3 linked regions of the Sus scrofa genome follow. Each later gene encodes a partner of the first gene's protein in a complex. Links are inferred from orthologs where the notes say so. Each region holds a gene or a part of one and is shown in the gene's direction. Other genes may lie near its edges. The genes, in order: STX18, STX7 and BET1L.

The links.
Region 2: STX18 (region 1) and STX7 share a complex: the UniProt entries of both Homo sapiens proteins name them as parts of the SNARE complex. The link is inferred for Sus scrofa from reciprocal best matches to the Homo sapiens genes STX18 and STX7.
Region 3: STX18 (region 1) and BET1L share a complex: the UniProt entries of both Homo sapiens proteins name them as parts of the SNARE complex. The link is inferred for Sus scrofa from reciprocal best matches to the Homo sapiens genes STX18 and BET1L.

The regions. Positions count from the first base shown.
Region 1 is NC_010450.4:5,968,362-5,978,497, forward strand, and holds part of STX18 (syntaxin-18), read left to right. Parts: intron 1-1,353; coding exon 1,354-1,469; intron 1,470-4,006; coding exon 4,007-4,084; intron 4,085-4,283; coding exon 4,284-4,350; intron 4,351-10,136. UniProt on the Homo sapiens protein: Syntaxin that may be involved in targeting and fusion of Golgi-derived retrograde transport vesicles with the ER.
Region 2 is NC_010443.5:31,222,515-31,232,650, forward strand, and holds part of STX7 (syntaxin-7), read left to right. Parts: intron 1-3,106; coding exon 3,107-3,244; intron 3,245-3,979; coding exon 3,980-4,032; intron 4,033-4,837; coding exon 4,838-4,934; intron 4,935-5,784; coding exon 5,785-5,857; intron 5,858-9,996; coding exon 9,997-10,079; intron 10,080-10,136. UniProt on the Homo sapiens protein: May be involved in protein trafficking from the plasma membrane to the early endosome (EE) as well as in homotypic fusion of endocytic organelles. Mediates the endocytic trafficking from early endosomes to late endosomes and lysosomes.
Region 3 is NC_010444.4:23,874-34,591, reverse strand, and holds BET1L (BET1-like protein), read left to right. Parts: upstream 1-4,130; 5' UTR 4,131-4,485; coding exon 4,486-4,543; intron 4,544-5,234; coding exon 5,235-5,326; intron 5,327-5,565; coding exon 5,566-5,622; intron 5,623-5,745; coding exon 5,746-5,913; 3' UTR 5,914-5,933; exon of another isoform or gene 5,934-7,467; 3' UTR 7,468-8,117; downstream 8,118-10,718. Other genes in the region: RIC8A (synembryn-A), read right to left, coding at 22-172, 645-736, 1,215-1,805, 1,892-1,939, 2,215-2,298; ODF3 (outer dense fiber protein 3), read right to left, coding at 9,685-9,774, 10,119-10,259. UniProt on the Homo sapiens protein: Vesicle SNARE required for targeting and fusion of retrograde transport vesicles with the Golgi complex. Required for the integrity of the Golgi complex.

The DNA.
Region 1 (10,136 bases):
ATGATCCAGAGCATCTGCAAGTGCCGGGCAGTCGGAGCCGGTGGGAGGAGAGGCGAGCTCGGGCCCGGGCCTCACGGAGCAGAGTGCAGAGGGCGGCCGCAGCGCAAGAGCCGCTGCGTCCCCGTGCAGCACGGGCCTTCGCTGAGGGCGCTGGGGAGGTGGCTCTGAGCGGAGCTGCACGGCAGGGACTGGGTGGGCATCTGGGGGTGAGGATCCAGGCTGCGGGAGGCTGTGCGGATGGTGGGGAGCAGGGAGGCCCGTGCGACTGGAGTGCAGTGATGGAGGGCGAGAGGGAGAAGTGTGCTCACTGCTGGGGGTGGGAATATCAGGACTTTGTTTCTTCTGTTTTGTTTTTTGCTTTTTAGGTCCACACCCATGGCATGTGAAAGTTCCCAGGCTAAGGATCGAATCAGAGCTACCTAGAGCTGCTGGCCTACCCCACAGCAACACAGGATCCAAGCCGTGCCTGTGACCTACACCACGGCGCATGGCAATGTCGGATCCTTAACCTACTGAGTGAGGCCAGGGGTCGAACCCACTCCTCATGGATCCTAGTTGGGCTTGTTACTGCTGAGCCCCAACGGGAACTCCAGGACTTTGTGTTTTATTCTCAGTCGGAATGAGATTGGGTGGCTAGTGGGGCTGGCAGGGAAGATGGAATGATTATCTCCGGTTGCTTTTACCTCGGTGTTTTGTGGTTCTTCATTCCAGCCCGAGCATCCAGAGTGTCTGAGCACTGTTAATGGTAACGCTGCCGCACCAGCCCGCATCTTACAAAGATGAGCGAGGTGATAAAACTGCCACACCTGGAGCTTCGGGTGCAGCGTTACTGATAGTGAACACCCTTACTGGTCCAGTGACTTGAGTTTTTAACTTCGTATCAGGGGAGATGACCTGGGTCTAAAAGCTCTTGCATTGTGGGTTTTGAGGACTGCTTGTCAACGTGGGCAGGTGGCAGCCTGGATGGACCAGCATCCTCTGTGCAGCCCGCCCGGGCTTCAGTCGGTGTGCTGGGGGACCCCGTTGTCCTCAAAGTCAGAGCCCACACCCTTCACAAGGCCTGTGTGCTCGGGCCCTGCCTCCTCTCCACGCCCGCCTCGGTCCCTGCGGCCTGGCCTGCCCCAGTGTGGTCTGCAGGCAGTGTGTTCTACCTGGCGGCCTTCGTAGGCGGTGGTCCCACTGTCTAGAGTGTTCGCCCCCCTCCTAGCCCGCCAGTTCCTCCTCCTCCTCAAGTCCCCACGTAACGGTCCCTTCAGCAGACAGGTTGGTTCTTCCCTCACCCCGCCCCCCGCCTGGCTCCACGTGCGGTCATTGCCACTGCCTTTCGCTTTTGCCCCCTCTCTCTCGCTGTAGCCACACCATGTCTGAATACGGGCGAATGACGGACACGGAGCGAGACCAGATAGACCAGGATGCTCAGACGTTCATGAGGACCTGCTCAGAGGCCATCCAGCAGCTGCGAGCCCAAGGTCAGTGCCCCGAGACGCAGGCACAGCCCCAACTCCATGAAGCACCCACGGGATGCATACGGCACAGCCGGGAAGCTCCTCGGTGTCCTTAGAGAGCTGGGTTTCAGAACCGCGGAAGTCTTCTCTCCCTGACTGGTGTTGTAACCTGAGCTGTTAAAAGTAGTGAAGAGGCCGTGATTCGAGTTAAATAGCAAGGACCTCTCCTGACAGAACCAAAAGTTTCCCAAGGGGCCAGGGGCGGAGAGGGTGGATGGGGTGGAAGCGTGGGCAGGCCTGCCTGCGCCCTGGGTGCCCCGACGGGGTCAGCGGTTGAAGGTGCATGAGGAGGACGCAGGAAGGTGCTCTCTGCTTTGAGTGTCACAGTTGGCGAGTCAACCACTTGTGTGCCCAGCCTGGCTCCACCCTCTCTGACCACATGGCCTTGGCAAGTCACTTAACCACCCCTGAGTCTCAGTCTCTTCGTCTCTGAAATGGAGCCAGTGCTGTGGTTATCTCAGAGGGTTGTTATGAGAACTGCATTCCCAGGACCCTAGAACCACGGCTAGGATGAGGGTTATTCTCATCCCTTCACTTGCCCTGCTGTGTAATTCTTGTTAAGGCACTGAGATAGTTATGCATCTTCCTTGCTGCCGCTTCTTTGTTTTGTTTTGTTTTGTTTTTTAGGGCCGCTCTTGTGGCATGTGGAAGTTCCCAGGCTAGGGGTCGAATTGGAGCTACAGCTGCTGGCCGTAGCCACAGCAACTCGGAATCCGAGCCACATCTGGCTTCTTTTTTTTTTTTGTCTTTTTGCTATTTCTTTGGGCCGCTCCCGCAGCATATGGAGGTTCCCAGGCTGGGGTCGAATCGGAGCTGTAGCCACCGGCCTACGCCAGAGCCACAGCAATGCAGGATCCGAGCCGCGTCTGCAACCTACACCACAGCTCACAGCAACGCCAGATCGTTAACCCACTGAGCAAGGGCAGGGACCGAACCCACAACCTCATGGTTCCTAGTCGGATTCGTTAACCACTGCGCCACGACGAGAACTCCTGGCTTCTTTTTTAATGTGCTCAGACAGACACAGATTGTGTTAACATAGCATTGAGTTCAGGTGGCCAGATGCTGCTGTGCTTGACACAGATGTCTGTTTGGGAAGCTTCCATTAGGACCCTGATGGACCACCTGAAGAGTCTGATGAAAGCTCCTGCCCGAAGAATGTACATACACACACAATTCTGTGTATAATTTCATAGGTCTGCTGAATTCCTCCCCTGCATCTCGGGTTCAGCAGCCCTGTGGTGAAAGTGAGTCAGTGCTCCATTTGGCAGCACATATGCTAAAATTGGAACGACACAGAGACGACTGGCACGGCCTCTGCCCAAGGGTGACATGCAAGTTACTGAAGTGTTCCATATTTTTTTAATAAAAAGAATGTATATACGTGTATGATGGAGTCCCTTTGCTGCACAGCAGAAATTGGCACAACTTTGTAAATCAACTATAATTCTTTTAAAAAAAATCGTGCTCTTTGCCCTTAAAGACATTCATTGAGATGACCTAGTAAATACATGAACATTTAATCCAACGAGGAATTCAGTACCAAACCCTGTGACCTTGGGCCACTTGTTGACTCTGAACCTTAGCATCTCTGTGAGTAAAACAGGCATAATCATAATTGCCTTTTGGATTATTTGGATCACTAGCAATAATTTCTGTAAAGTACCAGCAGCCTGCACACGGTGGGTTTCAGTCTCGTAAATGTGAGCTGTCCTACCAATAACCAGCTCGGGTTCTAGGAAGAGGTGATGGTTCACAGAAGAAAGGCGTCCCTGGAGTTCCCGCCGTGGCTCAGTGGCAACGAACCAGACTGGTATCCACTAGCATTCAGGGACTCAGGTTCCAGCCCTGGCCCTGCTCAGTGGGTTAAGGTCCGGCATTGCCGAGAGCTGTGGTGTCGGTCGCAGACATGGCTCAGATCTGGCATTGCTGTGGCTGTGGTGGAGACCGGCAGCTACAGCTCTGATTCGATGCCTAGCCTGGGAACCTCCATATGCCATAGGTTTGGCCCTAAAAAGACAACAACAACAACCCCAAAAAGGCGTCCTCACAGCTCGGGAGTCAAGGTTTTCTGGAGAAGGAGGTTTGACTCGATGTCTAAGGGAATGAGTGGCTGAGAGGAGAGGCCAGAAGGTTCCAAACTGAAAGAGAGCCCAGACAGGCAGGCAGGGCGGCTGTGCTTTGAGTTTGATTCGAAGGTCAGCCTGAGCCTCGGAGGCTGTCAGCAGAAACGGGGTCGGCACCTAGGGAGCGGGCCGCCTCAGATACGGTCCCGCCGTGCTGTCATCCACCCCGAATTCCTCGACTGTGGTTTTCCTGCAGATTTAATCTTTTACTCCTGCAAAGCCTAATAAATCTTAATGCAATGTCATTTGACGCAAGACTAGTTTTGTAGCTGTATTTTTAAGACTACGTCTCATAAAGAAACGGCTGTGAGGCCGCTGATGATTGTTCTGCAGGGTGACTGGTACGAAGCCCTGAACACTCTCCTTCCGTTGCAGCCCACAAGGAGGTGCCTTCCCAGCAAGTGAAGGAGCACAGGAGTGCCGTTCTGGACTTCATCGAAGATTACTTAAAAAGTATCTCCATTTCCCTCTCTCTCTCTTTTAAGTATTTCGTTTTACCTTAAAGGTCAGATGTAGCGTTTCACACTAGAGGGGGCCCAGCATTAGCTTTGCTGGCGATAGCTTTAGGTGTTGGGTCTCACTGGGTTTAATGATTCCTTTGCCTGAGCAGCAGTTTCTAATGGTGTCTGGTCTGGTGTTTTCCCCTGGACAGGAGTCTGTAAGCTCTACTCCGAACAGAGAGCCATCCGAGTTAAGCGAGTGGTGGACAAGAAAAGACTGTAAGTATCGCCTCTGCGGATGCGCCTCATTCATGACAGTGGCCATAATACAGCAACGAAAGTTTCTAGAGCCCGAGGCTTTACAGCCTGCCCCGCTTGGACTTGCTCGTGAAAGGCCGGGGCCGGTGCTCGAGGAGCCCCCTCCGTGTGTGCCGGGCCCCTGCGAGGCACGGCCCAGCTCCCGGTAGCCCACGAGGCAGGACGGTTGTCTCCCTCGACCCTCAGGCGGGACCTCGGGCAGCTCGCCAAGGCCCACAGCCAGGAGGCGGCAGAATTGGGATCTGAGCCCACGCCTTTGGTCCAGAATTCATGCTCTCACTCATCCCGTCCAATTAAATAACCTTGTGCGCCTGGCACGGGTTTAACGGTCTCACCGCGGACCCTCTGACCCCCACACCCCTCCTCACCGCCCCTGAGGGACGAGCTGGAGCGCAGGGAGGCCTTGGGTCATGGGCACACACAGCTCCCTTGCGATGCCTGTGGAGCCCCACGCCTGTTTAGTGTGGGCGCTGTCACAAACCCGCTTTGCAGGCGAGGACACCAGAGCTGCCGCAGGTTAAATGACTGGCACCAGGCCACACGGCCAGGCAGTAGCAGAGCCATCCTCTGCATTTCCTGAGCGCCGGTGTCTAGAGCACAGGACAGGGTCCTCTGAGAAGCCTCCCTTGCGGCAGCTCAGCCAGCCTGCAACTGGGTTCCCGAAGGAAGACGGGTGCTAGGGCCCGGCTCCAGCTCTTGCTCACGGCTCTGCTAGCTTTGGCAAGATTTCGGGGTGTTCTTTCAGAGGGTGACATTACACGCTCCTTTAGGCCAGGTTTGCTTCATTCTTACTGTGGCCGGCTCCCCAACACCACGCTCAGCCTAGGGGGGTGCCTCTGGGGCTCAGCATATCGTCCCGCTCGGCTGAAAGAGAAAAAGAGACTTATCAGTATCCCATTTTATAGAGGCTCAGGGAATTTAGGTCACTTGCCTGCCTCCACGGCTGAACTGAGAGTTGAATGTGGTTAACCAGGACAGGCTTCTCAGACAGTGGGCTTTGTGCTGGCTGTTGAAAGAAAGTAATCCAGGTAAGTGACTAGAGAGGAAGCAGCACCCAGGCTCGGGCAGGAGTGCAGGCAGAGCCTTGGCCCAAGAAAGCGGAGGCTCTGTGCTGTGGGCTTCACCATCAAGAGGCTGGGTGGTCGCTGGATCTCACGCTCTCCAGAGGCAGCTGCCTTATCCCGGCTGGACCCTGGCCCTGGAGACTGAACAGGGGCCTCGAGTAAAGCAAGAAGGGCCTTTCTGCTGCCTTCTCAGGGCCTGGTGCTCAGCAGAGGTTTGGACGAATTGCGATCAGTCTGATGGGAATCGTTCTCCTTCAGGCAGTGAGGTTCAGCCTCGTCTCCTGTCAGATAGCTGCCCTGTGCCAAGTACCTTAGCGAAGGGCCTTGAGGGACGTAAGGCCCTTCTAGTCCAGGGCAGTCCAGCCTCCCTTCTAGTTCTTCGGCGTCCTTGCCCCGGAAGGCACCCACCTAAGACACACGTATCATTTTATCTCTCCCTTGCTCCAGTGTCTTACCGAGGCCAAGCTTCATAGCGGACACTCTGGACCCATAGCTGTTTGTTTCGTAGTTGGTCTCTGTGGATTTACGGTCCGGCCATACCTGACTACTTTGTGTTCTGAAGAGGCCTTGTTCTCTGAAGTTCTTAGGCCTTAATCCTTGCCGGTTTCTCTGTTCAGAATGTCTTCACATGTATACTTAGATTCTCCGCCCCCTCTCGCCCGTTCACGTGGCAAACTCCTCTTTATGCTTCCAGCCCCAGTTAAGATGCCACCTGCTCTTTAAGGACTTTCCCAGTTTCTGCAGGAGTGTTCGTGGTTCCTGTCTGTGGCTCCTTGTGCATTGTCATGAGCAGGTGTGGCACTTCTACGCTTAGAAGCTGGCTGCTAGTACGCCCCTCAGCCCTCTGTGCAGCACAATACCTGCTCCAGCCTGCAGAAGCTGCTCAGGGAGGACTGTGGGATGCATGTGTGCATGAAGGAGTGAATGACAAGTTATTTGGCTCTAAATTTTTTCACTGTCGTGTTAGACTGGTGGGTTCTTTGTTTTGATTGGTAATGGTTATTGTTAAAAATCATTCTTATAAAATAGACTTGAGGGAGTTCCCGTCATGGCTCAGTGGTTAACGAATGCGACTAAGAACCATGAGGTTGCGGGTTGGATCCCTGGCCTTGCTCAGTGGGTTAAGGATCCGGCGTTGCCGTGAGCTGTGGTGTAGGTTGCAGACGTGGCTCGGATCCCGCGTTGCTGTGGCTGTGGTGTAGGCCGGCGGCTACAGCTCCGATTCGACCCCTAGCCTGGGAACCTCCATATGCCGTGGAAGCGGCCCAAGAAATGGCAAAAGACAAAAAAAAAAAAAAAAAAAAAAAATTGAGAAACCCAAGGTCTCACCTTTTATGGCATTGTTGCTACTTGTTTTGTTCTTGGTAAAAGAAAAGCATATGTGTTAACAAAGGGGCAGGCTGATTGTTTTTATTTTAAATGTTTGACAGTCCTAAGAGGAAAGGTATTCTCGGCTGCATTCATCTTCATGGAATGGCGATATCACACCAACCTCTCCTGCCAAAGGGTTCTTATTCCAAACTAGCTGAGAAGGTCTTGCCCGTTAAGGCAGAAGTCGTCTCAACGGATTCTTCTGGATTTTTCCCTCCATGACTGTTTTCATAGAAGGACGGGACTGTTGCTAAATGTGACTCTTTTCACCCATCCTCTAGGCGCTGTACTATCTGAGTCGACAGTGGCACCTGCTGTTAGTTGCCTTGAGCTCGGGATGGTGGTCACTTTTGTTGGGGTCTCGTCTCTGTCCTTCCTCCTGCTATGAGACCGAGAGTCTGTTGAAGACAGGGACCGTTGTGTCTTTTATCTCTCTGCTCCCAGGGCCTTGATCGGAACCTGGCTCAAAGTAGGTGCTCAACTAATGGTTCTTGAATGAAGGAAGGAAAGGAACGCAGTCCTGCATTCGTGGCTCCTCAGGTCTACATAATGAGAGCTTATAAACTGAAAGGGTCGTGGGCAGTGTAGACGCACCATTGGCACAGTGACCGGTCATCTCATTACCGCCCTCATCTCCCTAAAGCACTAATATTTTGCTTATGATTTAAGTTGAAATAGCCAAGAGATGCCCTCCTGGGTATATAGTCTAATTGAAACCATCAGAAACATTTCTCCTTTCCAGAAAGTAATCGCCTTGTGTGTCATTGCCTCTCTTTTTCCTGGGGAGAGCTTTCACGTGGCAGTCTGGAAATTAAAACTAGCCTCTGATGTTCTTTGCCACTAGCTTCAAGCATTATCTCTGTGGAGGCACAGCAAACGGTACGCAAGTCCAGGAACAGATCCAGACTTAGCAAGTAGGCCTTTGTCTTCCAACTGCTGTTTCCCTCCTACCCACTGGGGGGCCATCTGGCCCTGGCTCCACCCAGGCTGTCTTCACAGCGCCCTGGGTCGGGCTGTCATTTGAGATCTCGCTTCCCCTCCTACAGGGAGGGTCTCGGAGTGGGACGCTCTGAGGCTCTTCCTGCCTCCAGCGAGATTTGAGAAGGAGAAACCTGACTGCGTCCGCGAGGCGTCGTTCCTTCTAACTGCGTAGGTTGTGGAGCAGCGCTTAGGAGGACTGGACAAGTTCCCTGTACCTTCTGGGTTTCTCACTGTAGCCTGAAGTTCATCATCAGAATATTATCACATCCCAGTGTTAGTCCTGCAGGATAATGTGAGAATTTCCTGAGATAGTCTGAGGAAATCCTGAGACCTAAATATGATAAGTGTTACTTGGTAAACCGATTCCGTAGCCAGACAGGTGTGGGAAACCCTCAGTGTACGGAGTTCTCGGAGTCTTCCTCTGACCCTCTGCCTCGACGGCATCTTCCTTCGAGAGAGCCCCGCTCACCACGGAGCCCTTCGCTCTTGACACACCGGGCAGACCCAGTGGAGAAATAGTGCCTGGTCCCATGGCCAGGTGTGTGACCCTGAGGTATTTATTAGTTGCTCCCTTTGCTTGGTTACAGAAAACAAAAATTTTGTTGCATTCCACCTTTCCTCCTTTAAAAAAAGGAAAAGAAAAAAAGTGATTTTTACAACACAGGCTCTCACCGTACTAATTTGACACCTAAAGAACGGACTCATCCTATTTCTTCTGATTCAGTCCTCTCATTCTAACTTGATTAAAGCTTGCTGGGGGAAGAAGTTTGTCTTTTTTTGTTTGCTTTTTAGGACTGCACCCGCGGCCTATGGAGGTTCCCAGGCTAGGAATTGGAGCTGTAGCTGCCGGCCTACACCACAGCCACAGCCACGGAGGATCTGAGCCGCATCTGCGATCTACACCACAGCTCACAGCAACGCTGGATCCTTAACCCACTGAGCGAGGCCAGGGATCGAGCCCACATCCCCGTGGATACGAGTTGGGGTTGCTACCGCTGAGCCACAATGGAACTACAGGATTTTGTCTTTTGCTCTTTAGATCCACAGCTCCTACCCTGTGTCCTGCACATACCCGTAGGACTCTGTCCCTTTGCCAGTGCTGGGCTTGATAATGACAATAAAGATGAAGAAAACAGGAAGTGAGTGGCGTGACGCTAGGCCCATAGCAGTGACTTTGTCCTTTCTAAAAAATTTCAGTTTTATTGAAGTACAATCCTATAAAATTAAAAATATTGAAATGGGGCCTTTTAGTGACTTGCTATGTGTATGCATTGTGAAAGGATTCCTGCCCATGGAGCTAAACATTCCGCCCCGTGTTTATCTAGTTGGGAACATTTAGGTTCTCTCTCAGTGAACTTCTCTTAGGCCACACGGGGTTACGAGCTATAGGCATATGTCGTACACGAGGTCCTCGGACTTTGTTTCTCTCGTAACTGAACGCTTGTACCCTTTTGCCAACCTCTCCGTATCTCTCCTACCTGTGATTTTGCCTCATTGACCCCCGGAATGGGTTCAGCAAACTGTTCTCTATGGGCCAGATCTAGTCCTTGGCTTGTTTTGTACAGCCCTTGAGTGAAGATGGTTTCTGTATTTTTTTTTAATTTTTTTAATTTATTTTTTTTCTATTTTTTGCTTTTTAGGGCTGCACCTGCAGCATATGGAGGTTCCCAAGCTAGGGGTCCAATCAGAGCTACAGCTGCTGGCCTACACCACAGCCACAGCAACACAGGATCCAAGCTGCGTCTGCGACCTACACCACAGCTCATGGCAACGCCAGATCCTTAGCACCCTGAGTGAGGCCAGGGGTTGAACCCTCAACCTCATGGTTCCATTGTGCCATGACGGTAACTCCAGTTTTTCTCTTTTTAAATGTTTGTAAAACAAGAAACTAGAGGAAAAGAAGATGAATACGACAGAGACCATATTTTTTTTTCTTTTTTTTTTTTTTTTTAAACAAAGCCTACAATGTTTATTTGGCTCACGTTGGCCCTGGCTTAGACGGGGCTCTCCGAGGTGAAGGACTGCGTTTTGTTGTTTGTCTTCTGCAGTCCCTCAGGCCCTGATGTCCATGCGCTGTCCAGAGCGGTGAGTCCCCTGACTCGGTGGCAGTGTCACATTGCTGTGTTTCTAAATGCTTGTTCTTTTTTTGTGCTTAATTCATTGCCGATAAGTAACAAACAGCTCGTAATCTCATACTGGTCTGTGGACCACACTTTCAGTAGCAGTGGCCTGAAAATTACCCAGTACAGAGTGGCTGCCCAGGACACATCTGTCCATGCAACGATGGCTTGTGGTAGTCTGAGATAGTTCCTGTACAGGGTGTCTGAGCCA
Region 2 (10,136 bases), on another chromosome or scaffold:
AAAAAAGAGAGAAAGAATTACTCTAAAATAAAATCATGACCCAGTTTTTAGGATGAAGACTTAACAGTGAGAAAACTAGCATTATGAGTCTTTGGCTCAGGGCGAATATGCACAGTATTTGAACTTATTGTCAGATGTTATTGAGAATTAATCAGGCCCTATGGTAGGAGAGTGAGTGAAATTAAATTTTCAGAATTAAATAAAGAGCCAACAACTTTTGCACATGTTGTAGAATTTCACAGCTTGATACTATCAGGTGTTTTTTGTTTTTTGTTTTTGTTTTTATATTATCACTCAAATTTATCACATCTGTAGTTGTATAGTGATCATAACAATCTAATTTCACAGGATTTCCATCAAACAGCCCAAGCACATCTCCCCACCCCCCAAACTGTCTCCTCCAGAGACCATAAGTTTTTCAGTGTCTGTGAGTCAGCATCTGTTCTGCAAAGAAGTTCAGTCTATCCTTTTTTCAAATTCCACATGTCAGTGAAAGCATTTGATGTTGGTGTCTCATTGTATGGCTGACTTCACTTAGCATGATAGTTTCTAGGTCCATCCATGTTGCTAAAAATGCCGGTATTTCGTTCTTTTTAATGGCTGAGTAATATTCCATTGTGCATATGTACCACATCTTCTTGATCCACTCCTCTGTTGATAGACATTTAGGTTGTTTCCACGTTTTGGCTATTGTAAATAATGCTGCAATGAACATCGGAGTACATGTGTCTTTGCGAGTCGTGGTTTTCTCTGGCTAGCTGCCCAGGAGTGGGATTGCTGGATCAAATGGTAGTTCTAGTTTTAGTTTTCTGAGGAATCTCCATACTGTTTTCCACTGTGGTTGCAGCAATTTACAATCGCACCAACAGTGTAATAGGGTTCCTTTTTCTCCACACTCTCCCCAGCTCTTATTGTTTGCAAACTTTTTGATGATGGCCATTCTGGCTGGTGTAAGGTGGTACCTCAGAGTGGTTTTGATTTGTTTTTCTCTAATAATGAGTGATGATGAACATCTTTTCATGTGTTTTTTGGCCATCTGTTATGTCTTCTTTGGAGAATTGTCTGTTTAGATCTTCTGCCCATTTTTTGATGGGGTTGTTTGGTTTTTTTTGGTATGGAGCTGCAGAAGTTGTTTATAAATTTTGGAGACTAATCCCTTGTCAGTTGATTCACTTGCAAAGATTTTCTCCCATTCTGTGGGTTGTCTTTTCATTTTGTTTAGGGTTTCCTTTGCTGTGCAGAAACTTTGAAGTTTGAGTAGGTCCCATTGGTTTATTTTTGGTTTTTTTGTCAATACTCTAAGAGGTGGATCTGAGAAGATGTTGCTGTCGTTTATGTCAGAGAGTGTTTGGCCTATGGTTTAAGAGTTTTATGGTGTCTGGTCTCATATCTAGGTCTTTAATCCATTTTGAGTTTATTTTTGTGTGTGGTGTTAGGGAGTGTTCTAATTTCATTCTTTTCCATGTGGCTGTTCAGTTTTCCCAGCACCACTTATTGAACAAGTTGTCCTTTCTCCATTGTATATTCTTGCCTCCTTTGTCATAGATTAGTTGACTGTAGGTGCGTGGGTTTAATTCTGGGCTTTCTGTCCTCTTCCACTGATGTATATGTCTGTCTTTGTGCCAATACCATACAGTTTTGATGATTGTTGCTTTGTAGTATAGTCTGAAGTCCAGGAACCTGATTCCTCCAACTCCATTTTTCTGTTTCGGGATGTCTTTGGCTATTCTGGGTCTTTTGTGCTTCCAAACTTTAAAATATTTTTTTCGAGTTCTTTGAAAAATGTCCTTGGTAATTTGATAGGGATTGCATTGACTCTGTATATTGCCTTAGGTAGTATAGTCATTTTGATAATATTAACTCTTCCAAGAGCATGGTATGTCTTTCCATCTATTTGTGTCATCTTTGATTTCTTTCATCAGTATCTTATAGTTTTCAGAGTACAGGTCTTTTGTCCCTTTAGGTAGGTTTACTCCTAGGTATTTGATTCTTTTGGATGTGATAGTAAACAAGATGGTGTCCCTAATTTCTTTTTCTGCTCTTTCATTGTTAGTGTATAGAAATGCCATCGATTTCTGTGTATTAATTTTGTATCCTGCGACTTTGCCAGATTCGTGGATGAGCTCTAACAGTTTTCTGGTAGAGTCTTTGGGATTCTCTAGGTATAGTATCATGTCATCTGCAAATAGTGATAGTTTTACTTCTTCCTTTCCAATTTGGATTCCTTTTATTTCTTTTACTTCTCTGATGCTCTGGCTAGGACTTCCAAAACTTTGTTGAAGAGTAGTGGCGAGAGTGGACATCCTTGTCTTGTTCCTGATCTCAGAGGGAATTCTTTCAGCTTTTCACTGTTGAGAAGGATGTTTGCCATGGGTTTGTCATATATGGCCTTTATCATGTTGAGGTAGGTTCCCGCTATGCCCACTTTCTGAAGGGTTTTTATCAGAAATGGGTGTTGGATTTTGTCAAAGCCTTTTTCCGTGTCTATCGAGAGGATCATATGGTTTTTATTCTTCGGTTTGTTAGTGTGGTGTATCACACTGATGGATTTGCGGATATTGAAGAACCCTTGCATCCCTGGGATAAATCCCACTTGATCATGATGTATAATCTTTTTAATGTACTGTTGGATGCGGTTTGCTAGGATTTTGTTGAGGATTTTTGCATCAATGTTCATCAGTGAAATAGGCCTGTAGTTTTCTTTTTTTGAGGTATCTTTGTCTGGTTTTGGTATCAGGATGATGGTGGCCTCATAGAATGAGTTTGGGAGTATCCCTTCCTCTGCAATGTTTTGAAATAGTTTCAGAAGGATAGGTGTTAGCTCTTCTCTAAATGTTTGATAGAATTTGCCTGTGAAGCCATCTGGTCCTGGACTTTTGTTTGTTGGAAGTTTTTTAATCACAGTTTCAATTTCAGTTCTTGTGATTGGTCCATTCATCTTTTCTATTTCATCTTGGTTTAGTCTTGAAAGTTTAGTCTGAAAATTAAATTTTCAGAATTAAATAAAGAGCCAACAACTTTTGCACATGCTGTAGAATTTCACAGCTTGATTCTATCAGGTGTTTTTTGTTTTTTGTTTTTTTTTTTAAATCCCCCTTTCCTCTAGCGTCAAAGGAAAATACAGAAAGACCGCTTAGTGGCTGAATTCACAACGTCACTGACAAACTTTCAGAAGGTGCAGAGGCAAGCTGCTGAGAAAGAGAAAGAATTTGTTGCTCGAGTAAGAGCCAGTTCCAGAGTTTCTGTAAGTATTTAAAATGGCATTGTAAAAAGGAACACAGTATTCTCTAAAATATCTTAAGAGACTACATGGGTGTTTCTTGAGTCATAAAGACCTGTGAAAGTCTTAGAGATCAGTATTGAAATATTTAATTTCAGGTGTTTCTGCTTAATTTTTAAGAAGTATGATAATGGTGTATTACTCTGGTTATTCTGTGTCAAACAAAAGATTACAGATTATGTAAAAATAAACATTTTGTCAGAAAAGATTAGGGGTCTGATCCTAATTTGAACATGAGGCTGTTACTTCGTGTTCATGCTGGTGTAGAGAAGTCTTTCCTCCTAGGTTATGTGAAGATGATGGACGTGAACAGAGTGAATATACATATAATTATTGAAAATATATACCTGGAGAAAATAAATGAAAGGATAAGTTAGAGTGGAATTCTAACTTAATCTAATTATATATCTCCCCTGGAAACTATCACGAGTATATTGTTCCTTAATATAGAGGTTCCAAGACTACTTTACATTTTAATCGAATAATAATTATTATTTAGCACTTGAGAATATTTAATGAATTCTTTGCTTATCAGGTTATGATATAATTTTGTTATTACCTAAAGTAATTGACCTACAATATTAGAACAAGAACTCCCTTGTAGATGTAAATCAGTTTAGATTATTATAAAATAAAATGTGAGTGGTGTGTGTTTTTCCTGTGCACCTTCTTAATCCATTTTGTTATTATATTATTTAGGGTGGTTTTCCTGAGGAGACCTCAAAAGAAAGAAATCTTGTATCCTGGGAAAGGTAAGAAGTATAAAACATGCAGATCAAAGGGTAATTTTTGAAATACATTTTCTTACATCATGGTTCCTGGGCAGAATTAAAGCTTTCAGTATATTATGCCATGACTATCCAAAGTTATTTATGAATAAAAAATAAATAATAAATTTGAAAATTTTTCAGAATAATTATTTATTATAAAATATGTAAACATAAAAATTTCCAATGTAGCAATACTTTTAAAATAATTATCCAAATAAACATTGACTTAATTATTATTTAATATAGATTATTCCCATGTGTGAGGATTAAGTCAACCAAGGAGAAATACTCACCTGCCAAATATAATAGCTTCCAAAAAGTTAAATAATAACTGAAAAATAATATCAGTGAAATGACAGATGAATAAAATTTGGTTAACATTTTTATCCTATTTTTAGAATTTAAGTGAGTAATTTTGTTTTTTATTTATTTATTTTTGCATTTTAGTGCCGCACCCACGGCATATGGAGGTTCCCAGGCTAGGGGTCTAATCGGAGCTACAGCTGCCGGCCTACACCACAGCCATAGCAACTCCAGATCCAAGCCTTGTCTGCGACCTACACCACAGTTCACCGCAATGCCGGATCTTTAACCCACTGAGCAAGGCCAGGGATCGAATCCACAACCTCATGGTTCCTAGTCGGATTCGTTTCTTTTGTGCCATGACAGGAACTCCTAATTTTATGTTTTTGAAGAAAAAAATTCAATACGTATTTCTTAAATAAGAAGAAAGCCCCATTGTTTTAACTGGTTCTTCTTTTTTACTTATTGTTTTGTTTTTTAACAGCCAAACTCAGCCTCAAGTGCAAGTGCAGGATGAAGAAATTACAGAGGATGACCTTCGCCTTATTCATGAGCGAGAGTCTTCTATTAGGCAACTTGAAGTAAGCTTTATAAAGTTGGACTGCTGCTCTGTTCTTAGTGAGTTTGTCCTGAAAATGCTTAGATGATGCTAGGAGTGAGATCAAAAAAGATAACTAAAGAAATCCATCATTTTGGTGGCACTTTTTATATAAATTAGAATAATTTCTTTTTTTAAAAAACTAGTGATGCTTTAGAATTTCTCCTAGGATGAGATAATGTATTTCCTTCCACTCCAGCTTTTTTTTTTTTTCTTTTTTAATTCTGTTAGGTCATCTGAAGGCTCCTGAGCGTTGAGAAAATATCATCTAGAGATAAATGTTTGCTTAAAGGGTCTGAATGGCTCCTGTGCCATATGATACACGTCACACCTGCATGAATAAGACTTTTTCCAAGGGCTTTAAAAGTATTTTATTTCTTTTTAGTATGTGCAGGATATCAAAGAGGTCTAAAGGGTTCAGTAGCCATAGTTCTTAGAGAACTTTTTCCCTAGAAAATGGGCTAATAATAGCCTACCATTTATTGAGGGCTTCCATGTGCCAAGCACTGTGTGATAAATTCTTTATGTTAACTGTCTCTTTGAGTTGACATATATTCAGCAACCCACAGCCCTTCTCTATTAGCTAGATCCTTCACTTCTGTCCCATGTGGCTTGATATTTTTAACATCACAATCTTATTTTAGAGAACTAGTTACTGTTATTCAAAGTCTGCTTACCTGGGATTGCTTATAGTAAAATAGTTTCCTGTGTGTTATTAAGTCTAGATGCATTCTCACCTGGGTATGAGTGGTGGCTTGGGTTTTTAAAAAATGTTCCCCTTTTGTGGATTGGAGACTGAATTTCTGATAACAAAGTACACTTTTTTCTCTTAGGCTGATATTATGGATATTAATGAAATATTTAAAGACTTGGGGATGATGATTCATGAACAAGGAGATGTAATAGGTAAGCTCTGCTCATTATATTTCGTGAGGTGGAAGCAAGCTCCATGCCGTTTACCTGCTGCAGCTTCTCAAGCCAGAGTAACTCCTTCCTCTCTCTCTTTCGGTCCTCCAACAGACAAAACATCATCCTTGGCAGTATCTAAGACACATCTTGTTTTTGGCTCCTACTGGTTGAAATGACCAGCTGCATTTATTTAAGAAGTCCCAAATTTAATTAGGGTCTGCTGCTGCTGAGCTTATGGAAGGTGCTATGTAGCAGCATTCTAGCTTGTTTCCAGGACCTCTGGTTTCTGCCTTATCCCAGTTTAATTCTCATCACACCAAGGACTTTAGGGGAAACTTCTATTCATAATTGTCTTTGCTACCTGTCTTTTAGAATAGAGGGAATAGGAATAGGTGGCCGTTTGCATGATCCTTTATCCTCATAGCTTTTTTGGTAGATTAATTTAGTAGTATTACTTAGATACTGAGAATTTTTTAAAGAAAAATCAGTGACTAAGACTTCTATTAAGTGTAATCATAATTCATTAAAGGTGTAGTTGTCAACATTGATCAGGATTCTGATCATTTTTATTATTTTGAAATACAAAAATATTAGAGGGTATTGCTAAAGATAGATTTAATGTATTTTCTGAATTTTGGTTCAGTTAAAAATACTTGTATCTACAGTTTAATGTAATTATTATCAGTCCAATCTTACCCTCCTCTGTATCCCCAGTAGATCACAGGGTAAAATTTCCCAAATCATTGTATGTATTTATAGAATGCCTGCTATATCAGGCATAATTCTAGACACTGGGGATTCAGTTAAAATTAAACGACATATAAACAATCTTAAAATCTAGTTGGAGGTGAGAGACAATTTTAAAAAAAAGAAAAGTAAGTAAAGGGTGATAAGTGTTACAAGGAAAATAAGGCCAGGTGGGGGATGGGACTCTGGGTGGTGGGGAATGTGCTGCTTTTCATAGGGGAGTCATATTAGGCCTCACTGATAGGTGACATAATAGTGAAGAATTCACGGAGGTAAGGGAGCAAGCAAGAGAACGTATGCCAGGCAGAGGAAACAGCAGGTACAAAGGCCTCTGGGCAGAAGCATACCTGTCACCTGAGGTGAATGGAATGAGCAGGGGGAGATGGAGACCATGTCAGAAGTCACAGGGGACAGCATCTTGTAGGACCCCGAGCATCATGAGGACTGTCGCTGTTACTAATAGAGGGGAAGCCACGAGAGCGTACGAGCAGAGGAGGGCTGTCATCTGACATAGGCTTTAAGAGGCTCACTTTGCTGGGTCGAGAACAGACTGCAAAGGGACAACCAAAAACAAACCGCTTAAAAGGTTCCTGCAGGAATCCAGGTGAGCAGCTGTGTTGCCTTGGATCAGGATGGAAACAGTCAAGTGGTAAGAAGCAACAGGATTCTGGATATTTTTTTTTTTTTTGGATGTAGAGCCAAAAAGATCTACTGACTGTCTGATAGGGGTGAGAGAGAGTTAATTCAAGGTGACTCTAAGGTTTCGGCCCAGGTCACGATGGTGGTGCCATTTTTCAAGATGGGGAAATCTGTAGCTGGAGCAGGTTTAGGTGGATATAAATCAGTAATTTTTGGATACAGTAAGGTTTGAGGTGCCAGTTGTCACCCAGGTGAAGGTTTGACAGGCGTTGGTAGAGAACACAGGATTTGGGGGTGACACCTGGGAGTCATCTGCACATAGATGGTATTTAGAACTGTGTGATTAGATGAGATCACCTAGGAAGAAAGTGTGGTAGAGAGGAGAGGAGGAGGAGGGGGACTCACAGATATTTAGAGCAGTCAGCACACTACATCCTTCTCTTCACATGTTACCTTCAGCAGCTTCATGCAGCAGAGGCATAGTTGACTATATATTTATGACAAATCATATGAAAGAACCAAGAAGCTTAAAATATTTAGTATCTGGCACATAAAAAAGGTTTGTTGGTTCCTGATTTAGAGCCCAGAGAGCCAAGGGGGAACCATTAAAAATAACTAAGAAAGACTAGTCGGTGATGCAGAAGAAAACCAAGTGAGTGTATTGTTTTGGAATGAAGTAGAAAAAGCATTTCAAGAGCGATGGCTAGTCAGCTGTTTCAGATGCTGCTGCTAGATAAAGTAAACTGAGAATTAAGAGTTGACTGTTGAGTTTAACAATATGTAGGGCCTAGGGGACCTCGGAGGAGAGCTGTGTTGGTGAAATGGCGTGGGAGAGAGCATGGTAAAATAGGTTTAGGAGGCACTGCGAGGAGGTGATGAGATGGCAAGTGTACACAATCCTTCCTGGGAATCAAGTGCGGTCATAGCTGCAGTGGATGTGGAATAAATGAGAGGCTTTTGGGTTTGTTTTAAGATGGCAGCAGGAAGATTGATGGGAAAAAAGTGGGGATGATAGAGCAAGGTCTTTGAGTTAGTGACAAGAATGAGATAAAGGGCACCCAGGGAGGGGTCGGCTCTTGCTGGAGCTTGGCTGGATCCCCCCTAATCATGAACCAGAAGTCTGAGTACAGATGTTGCGGCGTGTTGCCCTGGCAAGGGTCGGGGGAGCATGTGGAGATGTCTTCTGATTGTCCCTGCTGTCTCAGCGATCCAGAAATCGGGGTCCCTGGTGGAGAATGATGGTGCGCAAAGAGGCAGGAGAAGTTAGAGGACAGAGGAGAAAGGATGACTTGGTCTTTGAGGAACTGGGAGAGTGAGGCAGGCATGCTTTGCAGTCCAGAATTTAATGTGAAATAAGTCAGCACAGGTGATCCCTTTTTGCACTTAATGCTCAGCTGCTGCATGGGACAGGTTAGGGTTTTGTCACATAAGTGTGATTAAGTAGGGACAAGGGGGATGAAGGTAAATACAAGAAAACAGTGACACCTGATTGTCCATGGAGTCTAAGCTAGAGAAGGGGAGTGAGGACATGAAGTGTGTGAGAGGTAGGGAAGAGTGGTGGGATCACTCAAGTCGGGGTCTCAGAAGGAGAGAGCTCTGAAGATAGCAGGTGGGGCTCGGAGAGTGAGACCTGAATGGAGATTACGAAGAAGCTGCAGTGATGGGTAATGATGGGTTTGGGATGTGATCATGGAAGTGGGTGGCTGAGAAAGGGTCACAGGCAAAGTCTTTGAAAAACATGTGCTCAAGAAAATGAGAGAGAGTTCCCCTCGTGGTTCAGTGGTAACGAATCCTACTAGTATCCTTGAGGATGCAGGTTTAGCCCCTGGCCTCGCTCAGTGGGTCAAGGATCTGGCGTTGCTGTGAGCTGTGGTGTAGGTCGAAGACGAGGCTCGGATCTGGCATTGCTGTGGCTGTGGCGCAGGCCGGCAGCTATAGTTCTGATTCAATCCCTAGCCTGGGAACCTCTATATGCCACGTGTACGGACCTAAAAAGACAGGAAAAAAAAAAAAAAATAAGGGAACTGAGAGGCCAAGGAATAGGAAGGTCAGCCATTGGATATTGAAATTGCCAAACATGTACTAGGAGGAGCAGTGAAGAAAACATCAGTGGTTCAGGGGGTGAAATATTCTGGAAGTGAGAAGAAAAGACGTTGAGCTCTATGATGTCTGCAGCAAGAAGGGTTGGCTGAGTGGGACAGCATGAGTTATAGAACTGAAAGCTGGCAGGGAGGAGGATACGGTGGTCACCCATCCTGCGGATTGACACCTCTTGCCCCCCAGGTCAGAGGAGGGTGGAAAGGAAAACCGTCACCCCTCGAGAAGGCTGCAGGGCTCCTCAGGGAAGCTAGATCTCAGCACAGAGAACGTTGATGATGGCCACCAAGCAAATGATGGGTTTGGATTCTCTATATTTACTCTAAATGAAAGTTCAGATGCCTGCGTGGTCCTGAGTTGGCCATCACAGAATGCAACTCTGTGACAGCACTTTGTGCAATAACCACATAGAACTAGAGTATGTTGTAATGAAGATGATTGGGATTTTTTCCTTCAAATTTTTATGTTTTGTTTGGATCACCTGAAAAATAGTATACCTAAAAAGAAAAATATTCAACTTTGCCCGTATTCTTAATAATAGTAACCTTTGACTGCACGTGTTTAATCTTACCTTAAATGAAATCTAGTGCTTTGTGCAGCTCTATTACTGGAGCATCAGCACCTGCTCAACAGTTGTGTGTTTTATTTTAAAGATAGCATAGAAGCCAATGTGGAAAGCTCAGAGGTGCACGTTCAGCAGGCGAACCAGCAGCTGTCAAGGGCAGCAGATTATCAGGTAATATTGACTATGCTAAATTGTCTCATAATTTCAACTTTTTAGTTGTGTCTGTCT
Region 3 (10,718 bases), on another chromosome or scaffold:
ATAGCAGGGCCTCCTGCCCACCTGGTGCAGACGCTTCTCCAGGAAACTGAGGAGGGCATGAATCACATCCATGTTCACTCCCAGGAACTCCAGGGAGCCTTCGTGTGGCTCCAGGGTGAGAAGGACATCCAGACACTTGAGGGGCAAGTTCCCCAGGAGGTTCACTGTGTGGCTGGGGACACATGGAAAGGAGGGCTGGGTAAACCCAGGCCCCCAGCACAGGCGCAACTCTTGTTGCCCCCTGCTGGGATCACACATGACCCGAACCAGTATCAGGGGCCTGAGTAGCACCAAGTACCAGAGCAGAGGGAGGCCCTCCTTGCAGACATCCCACCTCCCACACACCTGGGTCGAAACAACAGGTAGTCCAAATTGGGACCCGCCCAGGCATAGGTCACAGAAAATGAAAGTGACAACCACACTGCTCTATGGATACCACAGTGTTCAAGGTCCAGTGGCACATTCTGTCCTGAGCTCACAATTCTTGTCCTAGCTGTGTGTTCTAAGTGCTGCAGCTCTGTGGAAACACACCAATGCCTGGTCCCACCCAGTTGGATGAAAACTCTCTCTTTAGGGCTGGAAACCACCATATAGACCTGAGAGCAGACGCCCGCCCCGGTGTGCCCAACAGGCACCACCCTCACCCGTGGAACTCCTCTGTGCGGTCTCCAGCAGCAGTGACCATCACACAGTGCCGCAGCAGGGTCCCCAGGTGCCGGTAAAGTGCAGTGTCTTCCTGACCAAAGAGAAAGGGGTGCCTGTGAGAGAAAGTGCCACTCACCCCCACTGCTGCCTGCTGAACATCTACTGCCTGGCCCACGGCCAGACCTCATGCAGGCCATGCATCTCCTCCACCACACCTGGCTGCTCAGCCTCACTTATGTGACCTTAAGAGCACTCTCGTGGTTAGGGACATCAACAGGTCCCTTTGGGATGAAGTCACTCTGTGCTCTCGCCCCCCGCCCCCCGAAGAATCTCCTACAGCCTGCCCCCACACCACACAGCACTCCTGGTGTTGCAAGAGCCAGATACGCGCTCTGATTCCTCGATGCCCTTATACGGAACGGGCACCTCCCTGCCTCCTCCTGACAAGCGCTGCTGTGCAGATGTCCTCCTGGTCCGACACCCAGAAACTTGAGGGTACCTGGCAGAGAGGCAGGTCCCGGAAGCATCCTAGTTGTTAAGCCCAACCGAAGGCTGAGGCCAGCCCTCACCTCATCCACCTCCCTCTTGATGGAGTCGAAGGTGATGTTGAAAAGCACTTTGAGGATCTCCATGGCCCGTTCGGTCTCCTGGGAAGGAAGGAGTTCCGGGGGTCCCTCTCCAGGGGTCATTCCCAGCGTCAGCTCCAGTGCCTCGGTCAGCAGGTGCACTCCCTGCAGCTCCTCAAACAGCTGCCTGCGCACATCAGTGCGAAGCGCCGTTAGCAAGAAGAGGAGGCGCAAGTCAAAGAACTGGACGTCATGCGGGAAGCTGCTCTGGCGGTACAGTCTCACTCGCTCTGCGAGCCTCACCACTAGCCCCGCCTCTGCGGCGAGCACCTGTGCCACGGAGCTGCTCAGCACGAGGTTGCACAGGCACTTAAGGGACTCGAGCACAACATCCATGTCCAGAGTCTCAGGACACGACCCCTTCGAAGCAGAGATGCCAGCATAGCAGGCAAGCGCTTGCAGGCTCTGGCGGCTGGTGAACGAGTCCAGGCAGCTGCGGTCCCTCGACAGGATGCGGATGCTCTGCAGCCAGATGACTCGGCGGGAAGGTGACAAGCCCTGCTCCAGGACTGAGACCAGCAGCTCCGCCAGTCTCTGTGGGCAGGGGAATAGAGCGGTTCCATCAGGCTCCTCTACCTGGGCCACCCGTCCCTGCCCCTTTACCCTTGATAAGCACCCACCTTCCTGTCCTCCTGTTGGGCATCGTCAAACGTGAAGCTCTGGGAGTTCTGCAAACAGACCCAGAAGATTAGGAGGCACAGGTCCACCGAAGCAGAATCCGAGCTCCAAGGCCGCAGACACCGCTCTCAATAGACAGGGCTCCCTTTCCCCACGGCACCCCCAGCAACTCTTCAAAGACTCGGTGCCCCTCCCCGCCGTGCTCGCCAACACCCTCAGCCTTCCGCCACGCTCACCACTCACACCCTCCCCGCCGGCCACGCGCGCGGGACCCACCCAGCCCCACCTCCTCCCTGCGCGTCCCACGTCCATAGCTCCCGCTCACCTCCCGGTTGTAGGCGCGCAGAGCCTCCATAACCACGTCCTCCTCCCCCGTCTCTATAGCATCCACTACCGCCCGAGGCTCCATGGCGCTCCCGGGACCCCGGCCCGAGGAAGCGGAAGGTACCTCGCTCCAAGGCTCTGGGCCCCAGACGGCCCGCCCGGCCCTAGCTCGGCGCGCGGGGGAGGCCGGGAAGGGGCGTGCGCGGCGCCGCGCGGGCGGGGGCCCGGGCTGCGCGCGGCGCCGCGCGGGGCGGGGGCCCGGGCTGCGCGCGGCGCCGCGCGGGGCGGGGGCCCGGGCTGCGCGCGGCGCCGCGCGGGGCGGGGGCCCGGGCTGCGCGCGGCGCCGCGCGGGGCGGGGGCCCGGGCTGCGCGCGGCGCCGCGCGGGGCGGGGGCCCGGGCTGCGCGCGCCTTAAAGTGGAGAGGCCTAGAAGAGCCCTCGGGAATTTAAAGGCTTTGATGTCTAGTCACGTTGCCTTTCAGTGTCCGACTCAGTGGTTATCCGACCACGGGCCTGAATCGCTCCGGCTCCGAGCAGTGAATTCCCTACGGGAGAGGGCCTTAGCTTCTCACCCCGCTATTACACGCACACTACACCCCTCTTGATGTACAGAACGAATGAGATGTTCCGAGGAAAGACGAAGTGGAAAGGACTTTGCAGCCCCGGGACCACTTTGTTTATTAAGCAGGCGTTTGAGGGCCTACAGCATGCAAGGAACCAGGATGTGGGTGAACAGAACCCACAGGTCCTTGCCTTCGTGGAGCTTATATTGCAGAGGTGAAAACAAAAACGGGAAAACGGGAAGACTTTAAGCAGTCATAGTGCTGTGATTGAAAAAGGGGCCTGATGGGCTCCAAGGGGATTTGAATAAGTGTCGCTTTTGCTGAGACCAGAGGAAGAAGTGAGCCAGGAAGGGATGTGGGGGAAGTTCATTCAAGGCCGAAGGAGCCGGCAGAGTAAAGGTGGGAATGGCCGTTGTAGGAGAAAGAGATCATTGTTGGGGCTGAGAGACAGGGGAGAGTGGGGAGGGAAGGTCCAGGTCAGGATGAAGGCAAAGCCTGATCATGTGCAGGGACTTCCTGGCTGTGTAAGCAGACACATCTTCTGGCCTGGACCCAGTTCCCTCTTTTGAAAAGCAGAGATGATAAAAGGTCCCATTTCGGTGGGTTGTCAGCACTAAACGACACAGAGTGAATGCTCCATTACAGTGGGTGAATAACATATACTCCACCCACTGCGCAACAAGCCTTTGTTGAGCATCTATTTTGTGCCAGACCCCTTGTCAGTGCCCGGGTGCAAGGTCGCAGCACCGGCTCCTCCTGCCCCTAACTCCCCTCACGCTCCCACTCTTCTTCCTGATTTCCCGTTTTCCTTCAAGTGCTTCATCCCTGAGATTTTTGCAGCGCTCGCTTGTTCCAGGCACTGATCCCCTCTTTATCCCGCCGGCAGCATCTGGAGCGTGCTTCACACCGAGTCCTCGCCTTAACCGCACCGCAGCCGGGCGGGCCTCGGACCCCGGGCCGTGTCGCCGCGAGGAGCCTCTCTCGCCTGAGAAAGGGCCGTGAGCTCTTTCCAGTTAGGATTTGACACCGCCTTCGGCAGGAATGGCCGCGGAATTGTCTGTCGGCACCATGATGCTATTAAAAACGATAACCTTCCAGCAGTCCCAGGAGCGAACCAGCGGCCCTGTTCACAAGGCAGGCGGTGGAGGAAACGTCAGTTCTTCTCCGTCCAGCCCGCTCGCCCGCTCGGCCGGAAGTTGGAGGGCCCCGGGCGGAAGGGGCGGGACGGGAAGTCCCTCCCCGACGGCTGCGCCACATCCCGGGAGGCTGTAGCTCTGCGGGTCCGTGCTGGGCGCGATGGCGGACTGGGCTCGGGGTGAGCATTGGGGAGCGGAGGCAGGTGGCGGCGGTGCTGGAACCGATGCCGCTGCCTGCAGGAGTCGCTTTCGCCCGCCCCCGCCTCTCTGGGTGGCTTTGGCCGGCAGACACTGAGAACAGGCGGAGCCAGGGCGGCGTGGGTGGGGCCCTCGGGCGGTCTTGCCCGGCTTCTCGGTGAAGCTGCGGGGTCCGGATGTCCGCTGTCCCCACCCCTTCCGCCCTCGTGAGACTGTTCTGCACGGGACCTCAGCCAGACGGGCTGGTCGACTGTTCCGGAGGCCAGCCCCAAGGAGTGAGGGCTGCGCGTGATGGCCCAAGAAGGCCTCGTACCGACTGGGGCTGGGAGTGGCCCACTTGCCCTCTGGGAACCCCTGTTCTTATCTGCGAAGTGGGATGCTGATGCTTGTTTCCGCTGGGCTTGCGGCATTTACAGATTTAATGGATGAAAGCGGTTGGTAGGATGCTAACATCTCGTGGCATCTTTACACATCCATGATTTCTAGGGTTGTGATCCTATTAGATGAGCCTCCCTGAGACATCTGGCCCACGGCAAATCTGGCCTGTGAACTTGGGGAGGCAGTTCTCATCTACTTGATAGGATGGTTATACCAAGTCAAGTCATAAGTCCCAGCCCCTGTCCTGGGCCAGGTCTCAGCAACCACTGCTCTGGGTGTTGTGTAAGGCTCTGTGTAGGATGCAGAGCTGAGCAGATCTATGCCCTGCTCGTGAGATCGACCTCCCCTTCTGTTCATGACTTTTTCCTAAGTCCTTGCCAGAGTTTACTGGTTTTCTCTGAGAACAGGTCCCCTCTACGTCGCTGGTGACATCTGGGCTGACATACCAGTCCATCCAGAGGGGATGGTACAGGTTTTGTCACAGAGTATCAGAAGGTGCTGCCCACCCATCCGGGCTTGGATGCCTACACAGAACAAGTGCTCTCGCACGCTGTCCTTCACGCGGCTGTCTCGTGTGTGAAGTTCACGCTTTGGACCCTGGGTTAGGGCAGGACCTGTTCAGCAGACACAGGAAAGCCCAGTCCCCCTGGACTAGATGGAATTGGAGTGAGAGCCCTGAGGGCAGAGGTCAAGAGGGTGCGCGTGGGTGGGTGCACACTCTCACCCCCTCTCTGTCTCTTCTCACAGCTCAGAGCCCCGGCGCTGTGGAGGAGATTCTAGACCGGGAGAACAAGCGGATGGCGGACACCTTGGCCTCCAAGGTCACCAGGCTCAAGTCGGTCAGTGGTGGTCCTCTCCTTTCACCTCCATCTGGCCTTCTGGAGGAGGGCGTCAGAGGGAGGGTGGAGGCCTGGAAGGGGTCCAGATAGTTCTCTCTTTGTCCCGTACATGGCAGCACTCACCTGTGCTGGCCCAGGTGACATTTGGATCTCCTGACCTCTGCTGATGCCGTGGGGGGTTAGGAACAGTCCGTTATTTTTGTCCTGGCCTGACCCTGTCCCCTCTGTGTCCTGAGCAGCTGGCCTTGGACATTGATAGGGATGTGGAGGACCAGAACCGGTACCTGGACGGCATGGTAAGGGTCTGCGGTGTTCTCGGCCCCACGTTACCTGCCCTGCAGGCACCCCCCCCCCCCCCCCCGCGTGTGTGTGCTGTGGAGTTGCTGCCCCGTGTGACAATGCTAGGATTCCTCCCTTAGGACTCGGATTTCACGAGTGTGACGGGCCTCCTCACGGGGAGTGTGAAGCGCTTTTCCACAATGGCGAGATCTGGGCGAGACAACCGGAAGCTTCTCTGTGGTGTGGCCATGGGCCTGATCGTGGTCTTCTTCATCCTCTCCTACCTCCTGTCAAGGGCAAGGACGTGAGCCAGTGGGAACTGGTTTCTGTAGGTACCTGGGACAACCAGGGTCTTCCTCTGCCTTGTGTCCTGGGCTCCAGAAGATCTACCTACAAAATACCCCTTCGAAGTGATGAGCATGGCTTAGGAATCTTTTTCCTGTGTGGCTGGGAGCCTCTGACCCAGTAAGCTCATGTTAGCTGGTCCCATGTGTGCAAGGGGCCCATCCCCATTGGGTAACCAAGGCCCAGCTTCCTCTGCCATCTTGGGTGCTAGAAGCCCTAGCAGAGCCAGGTTGGAGCAGAGCAGCTGGGAATCCTGGACGTGACCACCTGTGACCAGCAGCCCTTCCCCCAGCCCTCAGGGTTCTGATGTATTGAGGCTTCTCTGCTTGGTCTTGGTCTGGATAAGGCCACGTCTGGTATTCGAGGTGCCCAGAGCCGACACAGGAAGGGGTGCGACTGTGAACCTCGAATCATTGCTGTCACTTTCAGCCAAGGGTCCTCAAACCAGAGATGGCCGTTGCTCCTGGCCAGGGCTGCCGGGCACTGGTGGACCAGCAAGAGTCAAGGGTCCTGCCGAGAGGTGTCTGCCTGCCGTCCAACCCCATGGCTGGAGCCCGACCCTCAGGGAAGGGCAGTGGCCATGCGTGGAGAAGTGAACTGCAGCATTGGCTGAAGACGCGGGCCCAGGTCCTCCTGGTCTCCCTGTGTCCAGGAGCAGAAACTGACCTTTTCTCAGGATTCAGGGTCTGTCCAGCACCGAGACACGTTTCCAGGAGCCCAGATCTCTAGAAAGAGGCTCATCTGGCATGTCAGAGTCAGGCAGGGTGTGAGCAGGGGCCTCTGTGGGTACAGCCTGGAGGCTTCCAGGTAACAGCTTTTCATAGGATCTGTAGGTCGCTTTTTGAGGGTCCGCGGACAGTTTCCACCGAGTCTGGCCCTTCCACCTACAGTATCTGCCCATCTCTCCTTGGGCCCTCAGTGCCCACTGGTCAGTCTCCTGCTCACACAAGGTGAACTGCAGTTTCTTCCAAACCAATGGGTCTTTCTACCCCACTGTGAGATCTCAGTGTCTTCCCATGAAAACACCTGTAAGAAACGAGTCATCAGCTCTGTCCTTCCCGTCTTTTGTTCCAGTTCTCTGTCTTCCTGGTCACTCCCCTTCACTCTCTGAGGGCTACCGGCTCACCGGCCATCTTCACACATACACATGTGGTCATATGTCAGCCACAGCCTGTGCCTCTCAACTCCTGCCACCCCACCCTGCTCTGGTCTCTGGCCCTGGGCACCTCACCTTCTGGCCCTGCTGCTCCTGCTCCTCCTCTCTCTCTCCTTTGTTCTCCACCGAGCAGGCCTGGCTTGTCTCACACTCACCATAATGCCCTTCTCTTTTCCACTGCGCCTGGTTGGGCCTCAGCCTTCTGGAAGGGGAGCGTGCTACCTTCTCATTTCCGAGTGCTCTGTTCTTACTGCCTCCATCCCTCCAGTGTGTGCTTGTTTCTCACTCGGTGAGGTCCGCTTCCTTGCCTCCATGGCTTCGACTCAGCCGTCAGCTCATCTCATGTTGAAATTTGTCACAGGGACGTGCCTACTGTTCATGAAGCTCAGCAGCTGCTGCCGTGTCGTGTTTCCATCGGGTCACCACAGGCACGGCAGACACATCAGACCTGAGTGTGGCAGCCGCCTGTTCTGGGCCTGCTAACCTGGCTTCCTGAGAATATGGCTCAGCCATGGCTGTTGCTCCCCCCAGGATGCTCTTACCTGCTGTGCCCACTCGTCTTGCCAGTGCAGACCAGGAATTGAGGATTTGCCTTTCAGAATGACTGTCTCAAGAAGTGCTCTGCCCCCTCCGAGACCTCTGGTTGCTGTGTTCTCTCCTTGGGTCCCCACCTCTGCCTCCCCACTTCATTTCCATGGCTCTTGGCAGCTCTTCCAGCTATTTTGGGGTCTGGGTTTTTGTCTCTGTCTGGTTTACTTTTTTGTTGCATTAGGCTGAGTTCCTGAATGCTGCTGCCACCACGTCGGCAGGGTTTTCTGTGGGGCCTGCACCCTTCTGCTCAGCCCTGTGCACTCAGCACCTCCTCCTGTGGATAAGTGGGGTTTGCTAAGTGGCCCTTCAGACTAAAACAGAAGAGGCCTTGGAGTCCTCTGTGCCAAGGGAGGGCCCCAAGTCAAGGACAAGGCATTTGGTCATAAAAACTTGGAATAAACAGATTCTCGATTAAGTAAACACATAGTCTTTGGTGTTTGCATTTCCTTCAGGGCCTCCGAGAGTTTTGTCTGGAACTGACCTTGGTCCACAGCCTTGCCCTGGGCACGGTGGTCTCCACGTGGCTTCTTTCCCCTTCTCTCGGGCCCTGCTCCCGTCCTTACTCGTCCCCTGGGGCGGGGGGCGGGGGGGCAGGCGTGGACTCACTACGTCCTGCTGCTGGACCTTTTTCTCCCCAGGTTTCTGTGACTAAGTTGGGGAAGGTGGCGTCACTGCCTTTTCGTGACTAAAGTCCCACAGGGGCCACAGGGCCACCTGCCTAGCGCTGGTTTGAAGGTTGGAGTCCGTTGAGAGCTGGCCTCGGACTCCCGAGCATCCTCTGGAAATGCCCTTCATCCCAGCTCGTCACCCCTTCCTTGTCCATAGCCTCCTGTGCTTCACGTAGCATCTGATGTATAATGTCACTTTCAGATTTAGTCACTTGAAATTGCGGAAGTAAAATTTTTTTTGGTTTGTCTTTTTGGGGCCACACCTGTGGTACATTGGAAGTTCCCAGGCTCAGGGTTGAATCGGCTACAGCTGTGGGCCTACGCCACAGCAACGCCAGGTCCAAGCCGCGTCTGCAACCTACACCACAGCCCATGGCAACGCCGGATCCTTAATCCACGGAGCGAGGCCAGAGATGGAACTTGCATCCTCTTGGATGCTAGTCGGGTTTGTTAACCGTTGAGGCATGGCAGGAACCCCTGCAGCAGTGATTTATGTCTCATGGTCGCTGCTGGAGTTTGAGACAGGCTCAGTGGGGACAGTTGTCTCTGCTTTATGATGTTAAGGCTTCCTCTCAGAGGTGAGAGGCTGGTGCTGCCATCACGTGAAGGCTCAGTGACAGATCTGCAGGTCACCGCTGGGGTGAGCTGGGGGCCCAGCCATGTTCACTGTCTTATCATGTGTTCAGCTTCCTCACGACATGGTTCCTGGTGTGAAGGTGAGCAAAGAGAAGGGGGTACCCAGGTGGGAGCTCTGTGTGTGTCGCATGGCCTGGCCTCACGAGTCACGTTGCATCTCCATTTGGGATGGTCCCAGACGCTGTTCTAGATTCCAGGGGAGGGACTCTCAGCAGGGGAGAGAGAGCCACACTGGACATCACATGGGAGGGGACAGATAGAGCCACGTAGAGGGCAGGGCTCAAGGCAGAATCCTAAGGGCAGTGTCTGAGGCTCCTGAGCCCTCCACTCTTGTCAGAACCCAGGCCCTGGAAGCTAGGAGGGGCCGGACACGGGTCGGTGGTAGCCTATGGGGGCCCCTTTCTGGAAAATCTTGGTGATCCCCCAAGAGACACCCATTACTAATGGAATCAGATTTTATTACATATCCAGGCTCAGCAGGAAACAAGTTTAGCAAAAGGGAAGGTAGCATAGAAAAAATAACTGGTCACAACTGTCCAAACAAGTGTGCTCTGCCCTGCAGGGCCAGGCCAGCTGCAGCCCAGCTGGTGGAGGAGGCACCCAGAGCCCTCAGCCCCGGGAATCTGCTGTTGGGGGAACATGACATGCAGAGGCTCAGGGTGACTGGTGGAGCGGGGCCGGGACTATTCCACATCCACGACCAGGGGTGTCATGTAGTCAGAATGTTTGATGCCAAAGGTGACGATGGGGGCGCAGGGCTTGGTCACGGTCACCTGGGAGAGGAGAGGCTGTGAGGACCTGACACCCCCGTCCCCCTGCAGGCTCTGCCCTCACTGGGGCAGTACCTCCTAAGCCCTGGACCAAAGTGACCAGCAGGAAGTCCACACTGCCAGGCTTGACCACAGGGCTTGGTATGTGGTGAGCCCTCAGCAGCACTAGTCTTGGCGGACACTGGGGACAGGGGGCCCTGCCAGCTGAGGAAAGGGCTGCAGCTAGAATGCACAGTGTTCTGAGGGTGCCTGGACACCACGACCCTTGCCTGCTCACAGGCCCTTCCCCACACCACCCCCTCTGGGCCATGTCACCCCTACCCCACTCGGCCGTGCTCTTGCCAGACCTTTTCAGGGCTGTGGGCTCCTGGTCCTGGCTTGAGGGTCTTGTCGCCTGGGGGCTCCACCCGCGCAGCCATGGTGTACTGTGGAGCCTTGAATTTAGTCACCTGGACATCGGTCTGACGGTAGGCTGCAGGACCTGGGGTCTGGGAGGTGAAAGAGGCTCAGATAGGCTTGGCCTGCCAGGGCGTGGGAACACAGAGGGCAGGAGCCAGCATCAGACCGTGGCTTTCAGGCGCCAAGCACTGTGTGTCTGTGTGTCAGGGGCCTCTTCTATCTCCAAATGATGGCCATACTGTGGAACAGCACCCCAGGGCTGTAGGACCCCTTCTCTGTGTGAGACGTCACCCTCCCTTCAGCCTCACCGTGGCAGTGACGCCCCGGTCTGTGCCAGCTCCAGGCTTGTCCTTTTCCCAGCTGGGAACCCTGTCCTGTGGGACTCAAGGGCCATGGGCTGGGCTGGGTGAGCTCAGCAGTGCTATGATTCCAGCTTACCAGTCTCTCCAGGTCCTGGGCACCTCAGGGCATTTACAATGGCTGTTTCTGCAGCAAGAACCTTCCTCCCCGAAACATGCCACAGCTTCTTTTTCTCCTCAGCTTCTTCC